2 linked regions of the Arabidopsis thaliana genome follow. The protein of the gene in region 1 interacts with the protein of each later gene in a pairwise test. Each region holds a gene or a part of one and is shown on either strand. Other genes may lie near its edges. The genes, in order: LUL3 and AT3G12470.

Region 1 (4,900 bases):
AGTCCAAAACAAGACAAAGACAATCACACATAGACCCTAGGGGTTTCATAGTTCATAGATATGATACCACATGGAATCATAATGTGTATGGAGAAATAATATTGCTTGTAAAGAGAGTCACTTCACTACTATCAAACAAAGACTTTTTTTTATTCCTCATTTCAAAAGTTTGAGCATTCTGTCAAAAAGAATGAACTCAAGCTTCACTTTTTTTTTAAAACTTTTTTCTTTCTCAGGCTTAACTTCAATAGGAAACATTCTCCATCTCCTACCAGCTTTTCCTTTTATTTGAGCCTTTTTTACAGACAAAAAGCAAAAAGGAGAGAAGAAAAAAAGATTACTTCTTTGAATGTTCTCATCAACTTCAGTTCCCATCTCTCTTTATTTTCTTTTGAATCTTTGTAATTATCAAGGTCCCCATTTTCTCATCTACACAAACTTTTACTTTCTCAAAAAGAAAGAGTTAAAAGAAAGCCAAATTAGGGACACATAGAGCTATCCAAGACTCTTGCAGATTTTTCCTGTCTATTTTTGATATAGAATTGTGGTTACTAGGAGGTTCGGTTTCTAGATTATAAACCCGAAACGTTACGATAAACAACATATGATTGCAAGTTATATTTGAGCAATGCCCAAACCAAAAAGTATTCAGTTACAGAATGAGTGTTTCAAGTAGAAAGATACAAAGAGAAAGTTTCTCAAGAACCATTGGAGCTATATATACATTACTGACTTTTTTTTCTTTGAGTTTCCCAAAACTAAGACCAACAAATATGTGCAAGAGTATGACATGAGAAAACACATTTGTATAAGAAAAAAGGGCAAAAGAATTCGATTTGACGGTTTTCAAAAAGAAGAAGAAGAAAGAATCAAACATGGTGTTTAAGTGAAGGGAAGAAACCTCTTTTTCAGTGTTGTTCATCACTACTTTCCACTTTAATCTTTACAAGCTCATGGATAGGTTGTCTACAAATGGGACATTTGTTTGTCTGAAACCTCAGTTCTTCTGCGCAATCACTGCACAAACACTGCAACAGACAACACAACATGATTTAGTCTTGATGACAATTCAACCAAAAAGTTATGGTCTTGTGAAAGACTTGATGTAGATTTGCTTTAGAGACAATCAACAGCAATATGAAGCAAGTCTAAAATGACAGAATTTGCTTGTTCCATAACTGAAACGCTACCAACGATTTATAGGTTTACCGAGTAAATGAAAAAAATTGCGTTTAGAAGAATTGAAGAAAGCAAAGAGAATTGCTAGAAGTTTGTACCAAATGTCTACAAGGCATGACGGCTGTGTCCTTAGGTTCAGTCAAGCAAATGACACATTCTTTGCCACCAGTATCCTCTAACCCCGATGCAGCAGTACCTTGTGTGATTGAATTATCGATTCCATACAACTCTTGTAGTTCATATCGTTCTCCTTCAATCCATAGAATCTGTTTCATGACTTTCACTTTGAAAGATCCATCATTAGTCTTCTCCAAAACCGCTTGAGTGATCTGCTTATGAACTAATGGTTCCTCTGAAACCGAGCTTGGTGATATTACTGTCTCGGCTGATATTACAAGTGGGTACACCTCTTCTGGTGATGGTTTCGATAGATCATCCAGTGAAAAGAAGCCTAGGTCGATTCCTGTCCCTGGAGCTTGTAGAAACTTCTGCCCGGCACCTTTTTGGAAAGGGACTTTGATTGGTGGGAAAGCTTCTGGTAAATGAGGGACGATTGTGCACTTTGATTCCTCTTCTCCAAAAAATATGATAGTGAAACTGAAAATGAGACAAGTAACATAATGAGACTCCTCGTCAGATAATCTTAATACCTAAACTTGGTATGCAACACAGGAGAGTAATAAGGTTGATTCAGTTGCTAACTAGCTTAGTAGTTCCGAACCATTAAATGAACTACAATAACTCCTAAAATCAATCAGTTATGTAACTGAAGCCTGTATTGTTTGGTTTCTGAACCAATCACATATTCATCACCTAGATCATGTCAAATTTTAACCTTTTTCATCCCAAATTGTGGCAACACATAATTCAGAACTGAAACATGAGTAAAGATGTTTCCTTTTAATCAATCTCGTCCCAGCAAAAACCCTAACTTTCACTGAATAAATGAGTCATATCATGTAAAGTTTGAACCTTTACGATCCAAATTTGAGATTCAGTATAATCTACAAGACCCCTCTACGCTAATTAGCCAATCTCATTCAAATTCTGGTTCTAAAGTCGGAAACTTGACTCAAATTTTGGAGTGAAGAAGTTATACCTGCCATCGAATAAGGCATCGAAGACGAAGGAAACAAGATAATGACCAGGGTTAAGATCGTCAGCTACGAGCCTCACCGTAGCTTTATTCACATTGACATCGTTCTTAACCTTCTTAGCGGTCTGATGCTCCACATAAGGTGCAGGCGGTTCCATAACCGCAACCGGAGTCGGACCGAAATAAACCGGCCTCATCATCGGATTAAACCCATTGTGATGATAACCGGTGAAATACGGAGGAGCTTGTTGCGGGTAGTATTGGTTTTGATGGTAGTTTTGACCGTACGGTCGGTAACTAATCTGCGACGGAGGAGGCTGAGAAGAAGACGGTGGCTGAGCCGGTGGTGGAGGAAGAGAGAGCTGTGGAGTTGAAACGGGGTAATTGTGAGAGTAGCTATACCCGTTTTGAGGCGGCGGTTGTTGTGGTGGAGGATCGGAGTAATAGTACGGCGGATTGTGGTGGGGATGGTGGTGGTTGTTGTTGTTGTCTCGTCGACGCTTGCTTAAGGAGATCCCCATAGCCTCTGAAGAAACGAGACAAGAGAGACAGAGAGACGAAAGTCAGATCAAAAGATTTGTCTTCCGGTGAAGATTATTATTTACATTATTTTTACTTTACGCAGTTACTGCCAGATTTACTGCAATTTTTGTAATAAAAGTCAACGCGTGTAACTTTTTTTTTAATCGGATGTTCCCGAAGACATGACCGTCTAACGAAAGAGACAAGACCGTTTCTTCTTGTTCAAATCTAGAAAACACACATACATGACGTTTTTCGAATAGCATTATTGATAGAGAAAAACTATGAAAAATCAACTAATACCTTATGAATTTCAAACGTGGTGTTTTATAGTTGACCACATATATCAACAAGTTCTTAACTTTGAATATTATGTTAGTAAATTATATTCAGATCATTTATAAAAGTTTACAAGTTTTCATCTTAATTTTGGTTTTCTTCCAATTATGTTATTAAGATGAGATTTTAAATAGTCCAAAATAGTTGAGCCAATATCATAAAAGCTAATTTTGGTTATGAATATACCCATATATTCAATTGATGGGTTCAATTTATGCATAACAGATTCTGTGTATAATAAATATACCTTTAGTCGTATTCAACAATCTTCATTGAATATTGGTTTAGGAGATTTTTAAGATACCTGTAACATTTTTAGGTCATAGATATGTTTAGAATGCTTGTGAATGTCAACAAAATATCTGATTAGCTGGAGCAATTAGAAACTCAAACCAAAATCCATTTAGTTTCTTTTTATTCATCCAATATTTTAAATCTCTGTGAACTAATAATTACATCTCAAAGTTACTAAGAAAAATAACTTTTTAAAAATAATTTTTAATCTATGTTATTATTATACAAACCAAGAAAACTAAGCTTTGTATGTTAAAATAAAGATTATACAAAGTAAGTATTCATCATCTTAATTTTAATGACTATGGTTTACTTGGTCTTGAGGTTGTTGTGCATCTATCTTTATCAAGAGAGGCTCATTTAAATCCGTCGAAGCATCATCAGTAACGGTCAGCTCCGGCAAGGCTGCAACCGCTTCGTTCATGTCTCCTCCGTGCTCTGCTAAAGCTTTTCTTAGAGCGTCCTTCGCCACCTTTGTAACACACACCATTAATATCACTGCAAAGAAACAGATAGAAGAAGGAACTTGTAACATTAGTGATTCTGCCGCAATCGAAGGAACTAGTAACATTAGTTATGCCGAACTAACCGGATATTACAAGGCTCGAAATCAAGAACGCCTGCAGATTGCGGAAAACAGGTCAGAATAGAGATTGAAACAAGAAGCTGAGAATGTAATTAAAATTTGTGTAGATCTTACCCAGCGACCTGGCGAGAACTCGCTCCACTTGTGAGTTACATCAGAAAGGTCTTTTAGAGTTGTTCCAACATACACTAACGCAAGTGTTATTGGCTGCAAATTAACAATGTATCAAGCTGTATTATTTCCATCTTACAATTTAAACATTTTGCAGTCGTTATGAAGTGGTGGATTAGAATAGATTACCATCATCCCTAACCACGAAGAAAGCAAGTATGGACCTAGCCGAATTGGCGTGACAGATAAGAGGTAGTTCAACATGCTGAACGGAAGAAGAGGAGCAAGCCGGAGCAACAAGCATATCTATATTCAGTTTTGCATATTCATAAGTTTCAAAAGAAGAGTGTCAGCACAAAACTTGTAATGGGTTCTCAGTGCAAACCTTGAAGCCGGATTTCTCTATCGCGAGTGCCACTGATTGAAACTGAGGATAATCCTTTAATTTTGCAACTACAAAAGGTTTTCCAATCTGCATAAGAGCATTTTCATGTAAGTACCAAAATATCAAAAAAGGATAGCGTCAGTGGTTTATGCATGTCACTTCATTAATCTAATGGTTGTGTCTGCAAATCAATAAGAATTTGAGTGGCTTACCGTACGGCCTAGTAGAAATGCAGCTCCTGAGCCAAGTGTAGCACCGACTGAGTCCGCCACAAAACCAATTGGCAGCCCAAAAAGGTAGCCACCACCGAGCTGAATATATCACAGCTTCAACCAAATAAGATTTCTCAATTTTATAGATAAACCAGTCACTCTAACAAAGAAAGTTG
Region 2 (3,661 bases), on another chromosome or scaffold:
GTGGAAGAAGACGTCGTGAATCCATTGGCCGATGACGGAAGGATCCGGCGTTACGGTGACGAAAAGCTCTTCTCCAAAGAAATCGACTGAGTACCTTTGCTGAGTAGCGTAAGATCCGATGGTTCTGATTGTCGGAGCCATTGATTTTGCCTTCAGTTTTTCAAGCAGAGATAATGATGAAACTGCTTTCTTCTCCTTTTGCAATCGTCGGAGGCTAGTTAAATTGTAGTACTGGTGCTCGCTATCACCATTGATCTTTTTGAAAATAAATGCAGTTAAATTTGGACGGTTGAGATGCAGTGTGACGTCATTAACCTACGCCAAACCTTAATGGTTATTACTGATTTGAATTCAAAAAGAATTTCTTATAAAGATCTCGAAATTTGAATTATGGAGAATATTTTGAGTATAGTTTATCAGATTACGTTAGCTAATGTTATATACTCCTAAAAATTAGTATTATCCTAAATCAAGATTAGGATTGATAAACGCATCTCAGTTGTAAACTCGTATCCTTGATCTTGCTTGAGGTTATATCCAGTTTAAAAATCGGAAATCATTTAACTGGGTGCAAAAACATTTGATTGACCAATTTGGTACGTCGTGATTTTTTTTGTCCCATGTCAAATTAAACAAAATTGATAATATAATTCATCAAAGCGTATTTGTTTTTAATCAAAACGTTAGATAGTCTTTTAATATCAATGCCTTTATTACAAACGTAGTCTACATGTACTAATTTTCCAGTCAACATTCATAGTCACAAAATACGATAACATGAAAACTTTCATGAATTAGAAGAAGACGTTGATTGATAAAGAGAGAAGAACAACAACAAATTCAAATCACAAGATTAGCAGCAACTTTTAAGTTCCAGAGACGTTCCTCAACAGCGAGCTTAAAGCAAACATACGACTCAATCGACGCCTGAAGTACCTGATAATGGTTAAGGTTATAAACGCCCCAATCGCTCATACAAATCGCCGGATCTAACCTCACTCCTACGCGACCCAAACGCTCCTTCACGATCTGTTCAAACGAACAAAAACACATCCTAGCCCCTCTCGAATCTCTCACGAACATCCTTATGTCCAGAAGCTTCCCGATCTCCACTCGATGCCTACATTTCTCGAGTTTTTTCTGGTCTTGGCCGTTCCAAACGCCGACGAAAGTCGTTTTGGGATCGGCAAGGAAAGTGCGGAGGACTTTTGGGAGACCGTAATTGTAACCTAGTTGGATGATGAGACAGCGACTACCGACGCACAACTGGAGAGTTTTTGGTGGTGGATCTGGATCGGAACTATCCGGTCTCCACTGAACACCGATTCCAACGACGAGAGGATGTACCGAGTGATTACGGTTGTAGGAGCGGACGCTACGAATCCAGCGGCGGATAACGGAAGCAGTCGGCGTAACGGTGACGATCAAGTCGTCTCCGAAAAAATCGACAAAGTGTTTTTGGTGAGTACGGAAACTTCTGATTCTTTTGATCGTCGGAGCCATTGATCTGTCTTCTTCTTCCTTTCTCTAAATTTTTGAGCGAGTGTTAGAAAGAGAAGCGGTTTCTTTTTCTTGTTATAGGGTACATTTTTGTTTCTAGTTATAATCACCGTCGATCTTTGTAGTTTTAATCGTACGGTTGACAATGGAGATGCATGTACTGTCACATCGTCAGGCCTATCATAGATGTATACGCAAAACATTTACTAATTACTGTATTTTACGGCTCTGAATTTTTATTTTTATTTCCATAAAGGTTTGATGAAGACATGGAATATAATACTTTTTTACGTACTTCTTTTTACTAAAATAGTTTATTCAGTTATTTGGGGGCTTAATTAGGTAGATAACCATAACCTTTTTTTGTGTGTTTTTTTCACGAACAATGATTCACTGATGTAAAATCATAATTACTGATGAAGTTAACTTTCAACGTATAACGCTATGACGCAATTACTCTTGATATTTTTTCCTATATATTGGTTTGACAAAATTTTGTAACTTTAAATATAACTTCTGAAAAAATAAAAAAGTTGTAAATATAAATTCCACAACATTTTGTTTGGAACTTTGGATACATAGGCCACTTTGTTTTATCACACTTTATAATAAAGGTGGTTTCTGTTTTTTTTTTCTAAAATTCGACAGTTTGGTTTATAAGTATCTAAATTCAACTTGAAGACAAATAATTCTAACTTTATTTTATTTAAATTGTGATAAAAAAAAGTAACCCAAAACATATTTTTTGGTTCAGGCATATGTGTTACAACTTACAAGGATGCATTATCCTCAAACAAAATCCAATAAATAAAAAATAGAGAAGGTGGATGAAGATCTAAGAATTAATACTGTCACGAGAAAACGTATACAATCCACTAATACATAGCCACGTGTATGGTTAGATCTTTTCAAACAATCCGATTATATTTTGTGCTCCGCCGTATATTTATAACTAACATTACTTAATTAAATAACCATGTCGTCGACCCATTTTTTTTCTTTGACCCAAAACTTTAATTTGATTATATATATTTAATTTTAATTTTTCCATCGCACGGAGATTGTAACAAGGAAACCGCCGTCGCCGGATCTGATAGTGCATATCCATGAAGTAGAAGACGAAGAAACTTACTTTCTGATCTTAGAACGGAGTATATGTACAGAAGATTCGCGTCCCTCAATTTTTGATCTCAAGGGTCGGGTTTACCTTTTTTTCCTTCTTATTTTTGGTGGCTTTGCGTTTTCTCATTCGACGATTTCTGGATTTGGGGATTTCAAAACCATGAGGAAGAAGCTCGATACTCGGTTCCCAGCTGTAAGTTTTTCGTCTCTAATTGATCATTTCTGAAATTGAAGTCCAATTTCTCGGAAATTACTTTGATCTGTTGTTTTTCAGATCGAATTTCCAACACTATTTGGGATTAGATTAGTGTTCTACGATGAAAATTAGATTAAGTATCTCATTTCTGGCGAATTAGTTTTAGCAAATGACCTAGTAGTCAATTTCACCCTAATTTTTGTTGTGCTTGTTATATAGCTATAGTAATATGTGTTATGAAGATCCGCTATGGAATGTTTCATGTAAATTAGAGAATTCGAGAATTTAGGTGACTAGTGCTCGAAACGTGTTCTTTATCAACAAACCAGTCAGCTATTGGTTAGATAGTGTTGATTGAAGCAGGGATGTTATACACGAATTGTTTTTTCATAGGCTTGGAACTTTTTGTAGAGCTTCCAATTTGGCTAGCTAGATTTTGTTTAGCTTTATTGAATAAAACGTCAGATGATTTCATAAGTTGGTTATTGTTGATGGTGGTTTATTTTGTTTGAGCTGAGGCTAGAATATTAGTTTTTCACAGATTTTGACTTTCCATTTAATTTGTTAATATATTTTTGTTTGTATAATCTGATTGGTGATTGTACAGAGCGTGCTTGGTGTTTCTCAGTTCTACCATTTGCTTTATAATTCGTTTAGTAGTCTGTAATTATTGCCACACACACTGTGTGATGGTTGCTGTTTCTTCATTTGATGCATATATTACAATTTTTCAGGCTCGTATTAAAAAGATTATGCAAGCTGATGAGGATGTTGGCAAGATAGCTTTGGCAGTGCCTGTCTTAGTCTGTAAGTCATCTTGCTATCATTGACTTCAGTTTGAAA

What was found.
Region 2: the proteins of LUL3 (region 1) and AT3G12470 interact in a two-hybrid assay, tested with the Arabidopsis thaliana proteins (one large-scale study listed by BioGRID).

The regions. Positions count from the first base shown.
Region 1 is NC_003076.8:6,376,296-6,381,195, reverse strand, and holds LUL3 (RING/U-box superfamily protein), read right to left. Parts: upstream 3,048-4,900; 5' UTR 2,797-3,047; coding exon 2,279-2,796; intron 1,777-2,278; coding exon 1,278-1,776; intron 1,029-1,277; coding exon 909-1,028; 3' UTR 591-908; downstream 1-590. Other genes in the region: AT5G19070 (SNARE associated Golgi protein family), read right to left, coding at 3,726-3,928, 4,020-4,050, 4,131-4,223, 4,317-4,433, 4,513-4,599, 4,725-4,823. UniProt on the Arabidopsis thaliana protein: Acts as an E3 ubiquitin-protein ligase, or as part of E3 complex, which accepts ubiquitin from specific E2 ubiquitin-conjugating enzymes and then transfers it to substrates (in vitro).
Region 2 is NC_003074.8:3,955,283-3,958,943, forward strand, and holds AT3G12470 (Polynucleotidyl transferase, ribonuclease H-like superfamily protein), read right to left. Parts: upstream 1,546-3,661; 5' UTR 1,504-1,545; coding exon 841-1,503; 3' UTR 679-840; downstream 1-678. Other genes in the region: AT3G12460 (Polynucleotidyl transferase, ribonuclease H-like superfamily protein), read right to left, coding at 1-141; NF-YC11 (nuclear factor Y, subunit C11), read left to right, coding at 2,783-2,815, 3,553-3,625.